Linked DNA regions of Ovis aries. The protein of the gene in region 2 interacts with the protein of the main gene of each other region in a biochemical or structural test. Links are inferred from orthologs where the notes say so. Each region holds a gene or a part of one and is shown on either strand. Other genes may lie near its edges.

Evidence for each region. The genes of interacting proteins can lie anywhere in the genome.
Region 1: the proteins of MCM4 (region 2) and MCMBP form a complex in vitro, tested with the Homo sapiens proteins (2 studies listed by BioGRID). The link is inferred for Ovis aries from reciprocal best matches to the Homo sapiens genes MCM4 and MCMBP.

What each region holds. Positions count from the first base shown.
Region 1 is NC_056075.1:39,480,741-39,486,869, forward strand, and holds part of MCMBP (mini-chromosome maintenance complex-binding protein), read right to left. Parts: intron 4,188-6,129; coding exon 4,102-4,187; intron 3,497-4,101; coding exon 3,356-3,496; intron 3,240-3,355; coding exon 3,198-3,239; intron 1,189-3,197; coding exon 1,087-1,188; intron 608-1,086; coding exon 463-607; intron 1-462. UniProt on the Homo sapiens protein: Associated component of the MCM complex that acts as a regulator of DNA replication.
Region 2 is NC_056062.1:32,580,450-32,586,578, reverse strand, and holds the end of MCM4 (DNA replication licensing factor MCM4), read right to left. Parts: intron 6,044-6,129; coding exon 5,923-6,043; intron 5,512-5,922; coding exon 5,252-5,511; intron 4,986-5,251; coding exon 4,620-4,985; intron 4,197-4,619; coding exon 4,069-4,196; intron 3,363-4,068; coding exon 3,155-3,362; intron 2,420-3,154; coding exon 2,191-2,419; intron 1,799-2,190; coding exon 1,665-1,798; intron 1,019-1,664; coding exon 926-1,018; 3' UTR 401-925; downstream 1-400. UniProt on the Homo sapiens protein: Acts as a component of the MCM2-7 complex (MCM complex) which is the replicative helicase essential for 'once per cell cycle' DNA replication initiation and elongation in eukaryotic cells.

The DNA.
Region 1 (6,129 bases), on a different chromosome or scaffold from region 2:
CTCCTCCAGGTGAGCCTAACCGCTCGGTTATGGAGCACAGACTGAGCCTCCTCCAGGTGAGCCTAACCGCTCGGTTACGGAGCACAGACTGAGCCTCCTCCAGGTGAGCCTAACCGCTCGGTTACGGAGCACAGACTGAGCCTCCTCCAGGTGAGCCTAACCGCTCGGTTACGGAGCACAGACTGAGCCTCCTCCAGGTGAGCCTAACCGCTCGGTTACGGAGCACAGACTGAGCCTCCTCCAGGTGAGCCTAACCGCTCAGTTACGGAGCACAGACTGACTGACCAGAGCGCAGCCGTCAAAACTCTCAGAACTGTGTGTAACTCTGCTAAACCTGAAAGCAAAGTGGCCAAATCACTGCCAGCTCCTAGATCTACAGCTACACGATAGAGCTATGAGTTCTAAACATGAATCCATGGCAGGAGGGCGGAAGTCTCCGGAAAGCGGGACGGCACACGCTACCTGCTTGTCTGGCAGTCACGTGCTGGTCTTTCTGTTTACTGGGCTGCAGATCCATATCTTCGTCATCTTCATAGCTTCTCTTGTGCCGGCTGGGGGTGTAAGACGTTGAAGGGCTGACTCGAGCTTGGTTGGCATTAACATAGGCGTTAAATGAAGGGTTAAAGAAAGATTTCCATGAAATGGGGAATATCCTAAAATTATGCTACCTCTATGACTAATAAAAGACTACTTCTATTTTGGTAGCTTACTACTACTTTCGTAGCTTGGTTAAAATAAAAATACTTTTTTAAAAGAAGACTGATGTATACAAAAAAATAAGCTACAAGGATATACTGCATAGCACCATAAATATAGGCAATATTTTATAATAAATATGAACGAAGTAAAATCTACCAAAATTTTTGAATCATTATGTTGTACCTGAAGTTAATACACTATTGTAAACCAACTACACCTCAATATATTAAAAAAAAAGAAACAAGAATTAAAAAATTATTTTTTCCAGCTAACTTCATTGAGGTAAAAAGACTAAGCTTGAAAAAAAAGAAAATGAATTGTTATCTCTTCAATTAAGAAAATTATCAGGAAGCATTCAACACATAACAAGGTTCAGATAAAGGATATTTCTTTTACCCACATAGATTCTCCAGGCACTGGAACACAGTAGAATGTCTGTCTCTCCAAAGTAGTAGTTCGTGGAGAGTTTAAATCAACTTCTTGCTGAGGCTGTGATGTTCACAAAATTTTATTTATTAAAAAAAATTAGCAACTGTGTTTTCAGATTGTTTATAAAAATCACAGTAAATACTTCATATGGAGTTAATTAACAAGCGACTAGTAAATCTAAACTATCATTTTTGAAACGAAAACTGACATAAAATCACTTCAAATGCAATCATCAATGCAGTGTGTACAGCTTGAGACGGTATGTATAAGCAAGGTGGGCAGCCTGAAATGGTATGTATAAGCAAGGTGGGTTTTGTTTCTTTCTTTCCTTCCAGGGCCAAAGTCCCCTTTTCCTGGTACGGTGCTCACTCTTACAACTCTTCAGCAACACAGCACAAACTCTTGCTCAGTGTGTCCAACTCTGCAACCCCATGGACTGTAGCCCACCAGGCTCCTCTCCCCATGGGAATTCTCCAGGCAAGAATACTGGAGTGGGCTGCCATGCCCTCCTCCAGAGGGTCTTCCCGACCTAAGGATCGAATGCAGGCCTCCTGCACTGCAGGCGGATTCTTTACTGTCTAAGCCACCAGGAAAGCCCAATTAATACTGCAGCTTCCCTCAAATCCAAAATACATAATACCCTAGGCTACAAAATTAAATCCCTAAAATAAACACAGTACTTTGTTAAACTTTTTTCAAAGACAACACTCATGGTAATCCCACTGTCTCTCTCACAGGAATGCTATCAACATTAGCCAATAGGAATTTAATGATACACTTCTTATGATGTTGCTCTGAGATGAGACTGAAAAAAGAAATTATTTCAAGACACTCATATTACTTTTATAGCATACAAAAAAATCCCTTACAAGTAAACAGAATCTATATTCTATCTTATAAGAGAAAAACAAAGAAAGAAAGAAAGCCAGAGACACCAATTGAGTCTGAGATGGTATGTGTAAGCAAAGCGGCTTTTCTTTCTTTCCTTCCAGGGCCAAAGACCCTTTTCCTGGTATGGTGTTCTTACTTATGACTCTTCAGAAACACAGCACAAACTCTTTGCCTTTGGGAGTATCACAGATGGACACCCTCATCCATTTTATTCTCCAATTTCCAGATGTTGAGATTACTGAGTTAGAGAGACACTGCATTACTGTGTACTAGAAGAAAAACTGTGTATTAATTTATCAGCTTAATGTAACTTAGGGCTCCATAAACAGGAATGCAGGATTATAAAGTTGACTCATTAGACTCAGCACAACAATGTATTACCCTGTCATGGAAATGCCCTTAAAAAAGACACTGGGAGACTTGGAGGTCATCAAAAGATTAAACGAATTCATCTTTCACGAGTCCATTACTCTAAGAAAGTATAGGAAGTTATATTTCATTCTCTATAGAAACCTTCCTAATTAGGGCCATTCTTCCACACAGATCAGCCTGCTGAGCTAGAATATTTATTCTAGGATTTTGCCTTCTTTCTTCTTCCCTTTCCCATTATTGATATGTAGGAGAGTTTCTATTACTTCCTTTTATCAAAGAAGGCTTAGGTTTACTTTTTTCTTCCCAGGAAGAGAGGGCAGGATTTAATCAAATTTAATGAAGCACATGTAGGGGGTTCCCTGGCAGTTCAGGGGTTAGGACTCCATGCTACCAGTGTAGGGAACTAAGATCCCAAATGCTGTGCCACGTGGCCAAAAGAAAGAAAAAAAGGTATAAAAAATTAAGCGCATGCAAAGCCCTGAAATAATATTCTTTCATTTTTCTTCTACTTTTAATTTTAAAAGAACTTAAGTAATTTTTAAAAGCAAGTGTATAGATATTAGGAAAAGAAAGGAATTAACTTTGTCATTTACAATATTCCACCTTCTAAGACATTTTTAGAAGATCAAAAAAAAATCATATCAGAGAAACTCAAGTAAAAGGCAAATAAACAAAACATTTCACATGACTTCTTAGAACTTATATACAAGATAAGTAAATTTATGATCAACCAAAGGAAAATAATATTACCTGCCCAGGAAAAAAAGCTCATTAAAAAGTTTTTAATATATTTTAAGTATACATACCCCACACTCTGCTACATCTCTATATTTTCCAAAATGAAGAACCTATGATCAAAACAATATATTAAGATATCAGAATCAAAACTGCCACAGACAACACAAGGTCAAAGCTAATCCTACTAATTGTAAACACTAAGTTTCATGAAAAAAGCAATACATACACGTGCTTTTGTGTTTCGGTTAACAGTTTCATAAACTCCCATGTAAAATTCAGGGTCAAACATATCCTGAACCATGCAACGAAACTTCACAAAACTGTTAGGTTTCAAATAATGAAGAGGAACTTCATTCAGTGATGGTACCTTAAAGGGAAACAAACAAGTCAAAATAGTCTCTGTTTTGCAGAGACAAGCACATACACATGTATATCCAGACAAACTGCCATTCCCCACCTACCCACCCCCAATACAAAATCAAGCCCTATCAAGGAGCCAAATGATTTCAACGGTCAACAACACAACTGCTGAACAAAAGTCCTTTCCGCATTCTTGCAAGTTCAGTTCGTATGATGACGTTTGATTATAATCTCAAAGGATGCTTTTCCTTCAGAACACTTTCCACTTAGCAGAAAGGCATTTGCTTTGTTGAGCTATTCTCTTAAACTCATACAAGTAATTCTTTAAAATGAAGGTAATAAAAGATCATCAAAGTTCTCACAATTGCCCTTTTTTTTTTTCCCACAGTCAGTTACTGCCACCTACAGGTGCCAGTACAGAAGCATTTATTTGCTTGAATTTAAATTGCAAGAGACCAAAATCTTTTAATACATATGCACTTAAGGCAGAGGGCGGTACACGTTAATTTATATATTTTTAAGTTATATGTGGATCACTACTGTGAGAAATTGGAAGTCTGCCCAACCCTTGCCCGCCCACCCACCCCCAGCAAACAGCAATAACAAGCTTACCCATTTAGGAGCATTATTCTCCTTCAGCTTTTCCTTAAAATAGTCTATTACTTTCTTCTCCCAGTCAGGATTAACCCCATTTTGAGCTGAAAGAAAAATATACTTTTCAAAGCTGAAGGTACATTAGTTTAGGGTGCCTTATTGGAAGCGCTGCACAAGACACCAGAAGCTGATATGACAGTTGGGGTGAGGCTGAGCCCCTGCGGGCTCTCAGGTGCTAACAGTTTCCCAAGAGCTCTTCCACAGTGAGAGATGAGGCCCCAGACAGAGCAGCACAGGAACCATCACCTGAAAAGCACTCTGCTGCTTGAAAACATTTTAATACAGATTTAAAACACTTTTACAATCACCCTGAAATGGAAAGCAGAGCATGTTCTTCTTCTACTGTTTTTAACTTTTTATTTGGGAATAATTTCAAACTTCCAAAAAGTCACAATAAAAATTACAAAGAACACCTGTACCCTTGCCCCCATTTACTTTATTATTCGCTTGCTCTCTCTCCCTCTCCCACATTTTTCTCACTTGAGCTTACATTACACACACATCATTTATTTTTACCTTTAAATAGTACTTGGGCTTCCCTGGTGGCTCAGCTGGTAAAGAATCCGCCTGCAATGCAGGAGACCTGGGTTTGATCCCTGAGTTGAGAAGATCCCCTGGAGAAGGGAAAGGCTACCCAACTCCAGTATTCTGGCCTGGAGAATTCCATGGACTGTATAGTCCAAGGGGCCGCAAAGAGTCGGACGCGACTGAGCGACTTTCACTTAAATAGTACAGTGTGTTTCCTAAGAATAAGGAGATTATCTTACATAACCACGGTACTTGCTATCAATCTCAGGAAATTCGAAATCAATACCAAACTCTTTTTACCAAGCCTACCACACATATTCCAGCTAGTCTCCCGACCCATCACTATTGTCTCCTGTATTTTTTCCACTTCAGTGCATATTCAGTTTAGGATCGCAGCCTGCTTTCTGCTATCAATTTTTTCTTTTCAATCTTTTTCTACTCCGGAACAGTTCCTCAATCTTTATCTTTTACGACACTGATAATGAAGAATACAAACCCATTATAAAAAAACAGCATGTTCCTCACTGGGTCTGTCTGATGTTTCTTTATGCGTGGACTGCGGTTACGCGTTACCAGTCAGAGTGCTACGTAAGCATGTGGTGTCCTGGAACGGTTGTATGCGCTTCATTGAGACAGGAGATGCTCATCTTCTCTCCACGCATGACGTTAATTTTCACCACCCAGTAAAAGTGACAGCCAAGTTCTCCACAGCAGTCACTTCCGCCCTCTCCCCTCTAGTAAGCAATCTACAGGAGATGCCTCAGGACCAAACAAGTAATTTTCATGAAACTTGCCCTGCTCCCAAGATTCAGCACACCTCTACCTCTTGCAACGATGATTGCAAAATAAGAAAAAGGTGTTTTTAATGTCATATTAAGGATAAGAAACCAGCTTTTGAAAAACTATGGGAACTGGCCAAGACTAAAAAGTGAATCATCAAAAAAAAAAAAAAAAAAAAACCAACCAGGAATATATATATACGCATGTTTTCATGAATTAGAACTACCTAACCAGACCTTTGCCAACAAAGGTCCGTCTAGTCAAGGCTATGGTTTTTCCAGTGGTCATGTATGGATGTGAGAATTTGACTGTGAAGAAAGCTGAGGGCCGAAGAATTGATGCTTTTGAACTGTGGTGTTGGAGAAGACTCTTGAAAGTCCCTTGGACTGCAAGGAGATCCAACTAGTCCATTCTAAAGGAGATCAGTCCTGGGTGTTCATTGGAAGGACTGATGCTAAAGCTGAAACTCCAATACTTTGGCCACCTCATGTGAAAGACCCTGATGCTGGGAGGGATTGGGGGCAGGAGGAGAAGGGGATGACAGAGGATGAGATGGCTGGATGGCATCACTGATGGACATGGGTTTGAGTAAACTCCAGGAGTTGGTGATGGACAGGGAGGCCTGGTGTGCTGCGATTCATGGGGTTGCAAAGAGTCGGACACGACTCAGAGACTGAA
Region 2 (6,129 bases):
GGTTCATTTGACTCAAATTCCCTTAAAATCAAACATCATTTGCAGCCTTCAGTTCCACGTTGGTACTGAATTAAGAGTTCAGAAAAACATCATTAATGTATTACTTCAGGGGAAGTCAAAGGTGACACTGCTTGGATGACCTCAAATTCCACCCCCGACGCCCAATGTAATGCTGTTTAAGCACTCAATTCTGTCTGGACACTTTCCCAATGAATAGTGACTTTAAGTTATAAGAAGGCCAAACTCACACAGTGACACGTTTCAGGGATTACTTGTTATAGTCGTATTTCTGCCTGAGATTGCAGCCAATGGTGGTTTTATGAGAATGACTGCTAAAACCGAAATTTTTAAATATGATGAAACTTATTAGTGACTTATAGGAAGTAATTAACATCATGAATTTCCGTAAAAGCAGTGTTTATTAAAGCTTTTTTCTTAGTGAAAAGTGCCAGATAACCAAGTATTACTTATTCTATCACTTATTGAGGAAGAAATTTTACACATTAGAGCAAAGCAATACAAGTTAACATAGAACCCCATTGTTACCAGCCTCTTGTAGGCAAGTAAACAAGCCTGGAGGACTCAGCGGGGCCTGTCACCTCCTCAAAGGGAGGGATGGGAACACCCGCGTCTCCAGTACCCGACAGAGTCCAGCACAGACCAGGACTGAGACCGCAGTCTGCAGAGAAGAGTGCGTCCTGCTGTCTGTAGGGACACGCTACTCAGCCCTGGTGCTCCATGATACTCAGTCTCTGCCTCACACACTCAGATGGCCTAGGACGCTTCACTCAGTATCAACAGATGAATACACGGGCTTCCTAGGAACAGTGAAGCCACGTGAGAAAATTCTCATGGTGCCAAGCAATGACCTTGAAGCCCCTCCTCCTGCTGGCGGCAGGGCCAGGACCATGCTGCTCCTGGGCCTTCAGAGCAGACGCACAGTCTTCCCAGTTACTGTCAAGAAGTCGTCATCCGCCAGGGCGCGCAGCGCTTCTTCAAACATGTCCTTGGTGATTGCCTTCAGGGAAGAGCAAAGAGTTTACATCTGGAGCTGCCCTCCCCAGACACACAAGGAGCCCAAGTTCAGAAACCACTGGAGTCTCCTGCCTTCTGGGCGGCTGGACAGACATTTCATGCTCCAGCTCTTCCCCTAAAGGGCTTGATGCTAAGCACCACAGGCCTGGCGCCCCTGGTCTGTGTGAACCACTCAGCGGTCATGTGGGGCCAAGAAGGGGGTGTCAGGAAAGCAGGCAAGGGCTGGTCCCAACCAGCAGAGCCCCTGCCGTGAACCTGGCTTTCCTAATAACAGCCAAAAACTGCAAACACTAAATGTCCACCGACAGTTGAGTACATGATGGGGAAGGCATGAGACAGAGCAAACATGTCGCAGTGGATTCAGTGTCACAGAAAGAGCTAAGACTGTCACTGATTAAAAAAGAAACCACTGACTCTGCTCAAAACTACTCATCTACATCCACACAGAAGACTGAAAAAATTCTCAATGTGATCACTCACTATGGATGGGGACCGTACTTCTCTTATGTGTATCTACATTTATTACTCAAGCAGTAAATGAAGGGGGAAAGCTAGGGAAAAAAACTTTAAAGCAGCATCAAAGGAAAAGAAAACTATTAAACAAACAAAATGTCCATGTAAACACTTACTATGTCAGACTGTCCCCGAATATCTTCAAAGAGCTGCTGGTATTTCAGGGTTGGTGTCTTGCCCTTTGATAAAATAAGCTTTCTCAATGCTTCCGCTAACTCTTCTTTCCGCTTCCGAGAGGTAGCACTCATTCCTGAGTTAAGAGAAAGCAATGAAGATGTTTCTCCCATAATCAAGGGAACACCTTTCAAATCTCTAGTATTTCTTCTAAAATAATCTTTAGTCTTGTCACCAGACAAGGTAAGGGGATGGTGGCTGAATGCCAGAGTGAGGTCTGAATCCTGTCCCCAGTTTTATAAAAGCTCAGAGCCGCTACTGGCCACTGAGACACAGCCCAGCAGTCCACACAGGAGTCTGTGTCCACAGAGTCCCCCTTGTGGGGGCCTGAATCACTCGGTGCCTGGACGGCTGGGTGGGACAGAGCTGGGCCGAGTGTGCCAGCGTCTGCCTCCGCCCAGCCCCATCGCGTGTTCATGGGGGCTCTGACTCGAGATAGGGCAGCACCCACGTCGGGGGAAGGCTGACCTGTGGTGAGGATGGAGATGTCTACGATGCCTGTCCGCGGGTCGGTGGCCGACTGCTTCAGTGCCTCCCGGTGCAGGCGCTTGGCCTCCTCCACGTCAATGGCCTCCACCTTGTTTGAAAACCGCACTTTCGCGTGGGCTTCTGCCAAGCGGATCAGTGACTCCAGCTGCCGGGGGTACGCAGACACCATCCCTCGGCTACTGCCAACCTTCCTCATGTCCACGTAGGCCTGTAAGACAGGAGACAGGCTGACTCCTCACATGGTGACCGCAGGGAGGGAAGTCCTGAGGGGAACAAGAGCATGGTCTAGCCTTAGGCCTCCACCCTCATCTGGGGGAGAGGTGGCACCAGTGGGGGGATTGTGGCGCTGGGGAGGGAGCTGAGGACTTGGCCTGTTCACACCCTAGGAGGACCAAATAGCAGCAGGCCAAGGGGCGCTGACACAGAGCACACAAAGGGTAAACTGTGAACTCGTGTGGATGACCTGATTCTCAAGATGACCCAGAGGGAAAACTACGAATCACTTCTAACTGTCACTTGAGCATCTTCAGAACTGTCAGGATGGAAAGCCCACCAAAGCACTAGGAACCTTCCTAGTGTCACAACATCCATGCGTGTCACCAGGCACTGCTGCCCACTTAAAAGGTACTGAGAAGTGAACATAAAATACTTCAATTCTTTAGAAATGAGCAAATGCAGCTCAGAGACCAGAATTACAAAGTCACTAAGTATTAACAGCCTCACCGATATTTCAACTCAGGCATCCTGGTCTTAAATACACTGTGCTTACAAGAACTTTAAAAAGAGCACACAACTTGTAGAAATAATCCTTTTCCCTCTTCCACACGTGGAAAAGTCAGCTTTGCAACACAGGAAGGAAAACAGTTGTAGAAGACAGTGTTGTTCTTGACTAAAGACTGTTTCAGGGCTGAGCAGGGCCCAGCAGCACTTCGGGCCGCGGTACCTCGACGAGGGCCTGGCTGGCGTCCTGGCTGAGCCTTGGTGTCACGGTGCTGTGCGCGTAGGCGATGTAGTCCCTGAGCACCGCCATGTCCATGCCCTCCTCCTGTGCCTGCTCCTCACTCTGGTAGTACAGGGACACCAGGTGGTGAGCCAGGCGCCGGTCGTATGCCTCGTCCTGGGGGTCCAGCATGAGGAAGATCAAGTCAAACCTGAGGAGACACAGTGATGGTGCCCAGTCAGGACACCCACGCACCTGATGTGGACCTGCGGCCTCCGTGGGAGTGGCAGGCGCGCCCGGCCCAGGTGGTCCGAGGAGCTCAGGCCCCCGGGTCTCCTGCCCCAGCCCTCAGTCTGCCTGGGAATAAGTGTTGGGCGCTGAAGGTGAGTCAGAAGCAGGAGGCTCTGGAGGGAAACACTGCTGTGATTCTGAAGACTGGAGGAGGTGAGTGAAACACATTGAGCTGTGCTGGGGAAAAGGAACTATTTGTGTAAGAAGTGAAGGAACCAAATTCTAAAACCCATTTATGAAATACATCCATCCTTGAGAGGAAGCCTGGGTCACATCTCCCCTCCCACAAAGGCAGCTCTCAGACCCTTGTCTATTGCAGGAAGCTGCTCTCTGCACTTTGCTGATTGTCTACAGTGGCTATAGGACCAAGAGCAGCAAGAGGTGGGCTTCTGACAGAATGGAGCAGACAGGCCCCAACCGCTCCAAGAAACAAGCATCCGTCAAGGTGAGCAAGCGCGTGGTCCTCACCTCAGGACCCGTGACTAAGCAGACATGCAGACCACACCAGCATGAAGAGACGGCGACTGGCTGTGTTAACTCTGGTTATTTCCTTCTCACCCTCACCCTGAGCCTTCCACAGATGAGGAAAATGAAAGCATTTGTTTGATGAACATGTGCTATCATACCTTGATAAGAGTGTGTGGGGCAGCTGGATGTTTTCAATGGTGGTTTTTTTCGGATTCCACTGAGACTCAATCGGGTTTGCTGCTGCCAGGATGGAGGTGCGGGCGTTGAGCTGACAGATGATCCCAGCCTGCGGGAGGGACCGATAGCGTGGTCAGCAGCCTCACGCTGAGGCCAGCAGGAGCTCAGAGCCCCTGCCTCGGGTGGCCTTTGCCAGGAACCCCTGGCACCACAAGCACGGTACCTACAGCATCCACTGGGGAAGCCTAAGCTGAGTTTCACACCAAGGATGGAGGTGGGGGTAAACATTTGCTGTGACTACATCTTCTCAAAAACCAAATCCCTGGCATGAGATTTAGGACAAAAGTTCTGTGAACACCAGGCATTAGAGGTTAGTACCGCACAGAGGACCCAGGTCCTGTAGAGGACACTCAGATGGGCTGGGACCTGACAGCAGAGTGTTGGCCAGCCTCCCGAGCTGCAAGTCCAGACGCTGTGGTCCAGGCCCCATCCCCCACCCCCACGCAGACATCAGAGCGGGTGGGTGGCTGACCTTGGCGATGGACAGTGTCTGCTGCTCCATGACCTCGTGTAGCACGGAGCGCGTGCTTTCATTCATCTTGTCGAACTCGTCGATGCAGCAGATGCCATTGTCGCTCAGCACCAGGGCGCCGGTCTGCAACACCAGCTGCCGTGTCTCAGGGTCCTTCATGACGTAGGCAGTGAGGCCCACGGCACTGGAGCCCTTCCCGGACGTGTACTGGCCCCGCGGGACCAGGTTGTGCACGTACTGCAGCAGCTGGGACTTGCTGGTCCCTGGGTCCCCGCACAGCAGGATGTTGATCTCCGCGCGGAACTTGCCCCTCCCCGTGTGGCTGAAATCCTTTCTAGTCCCGCCGAAGAGCTGAAGCAAGATTCCCTGGATAGACGGACAGACAGGTCTCAGCACTCACCTGAGGTGGGTGGTGGAGAGGCAGGGGGCTGAGCAAATGGATGGTGAAGAGATCAGAGGACGAGAGCGGGTCAGAAGCCACACAGGGCCTGCCTGGAAACGGGTGAGCCGGGGGTGGAGATGAGGGTGCGGCCCCTGTTCCACCCGAGGCTCAGCCTTTCCCGGTGTTCACACCATCTGACCTTGAGCTTTCAGGCCTGGCCGTAAGCAAGAAGCCTTTCGAGGTCAGTTACCTTCTTTATGTCTTCATGCTCATAGATGCTTGGCGCCAGGGCAGATGCAAGCCTCTCATAGATGTCTGGCTTCCTGGAAAGCTCTTTGAGCAACTCCACACGTTTCTCAGAGAAAAGTTTCTGCTCTGCTTCTTCGTCAAGGCCATGCAGACGCTTTGAGTCAGTCTTCCGGTAGTGAATGACGTCAATGTGGGTTTTGTAGACAGACTTCACATTGCTCACTCTGGGGTTGATGCGAATGGGGACGGCTCGATAGATGCCTGAAGGCACGAAGGACACCCTCTCACCTGCCTGCTCTCAGTCCAGAGCAGGGGGAACAGGGCTCTGGGGGCTCTGAGCCCAGCCGAAAGGCTGACTGGGGAAACCCACCTCCACCCGGCGCCTGCCTGCTGCTGTGTTCAGTGTGAGACAGAGTTCTTATTTCTCTTTAAGGGAATGTACAGTTATTAATAATTTGACTAAAAATATTAAAATCCTGTTCCAAAAGCCTAAAAAGAAAGGAAATCCAAAAGGCTCACGTATTTAAAGTCGCTCACTAGTTATTTCGGACAACAAGACAACCTGCTGTCTGGGAAGGCACCACATTGGAGGTCAGAGGCTGGCACTGAAAACAGCAGCCCCAGGTCATCTGCCCCCAACCAGGTCAGAGGCCTGACGGTGGAGCCCCTCACCTGTGATGTGCACTCTGTCCCCAGGCTGGACCTTGTCCACGAGGTCATTGTGAGCAAAGAGGACGACCGTGTGCGGCGTCTGCCCCGCAGGCATGTCTTCGGGGGACTCCTGAAGCTTGATCTGGAAGGACAGGGAATGGACATCTCAGGACATCCAGATACCCGGCACCTCCACTGCCCCAGGGACGTTGCTCTGGAAGATGGCTA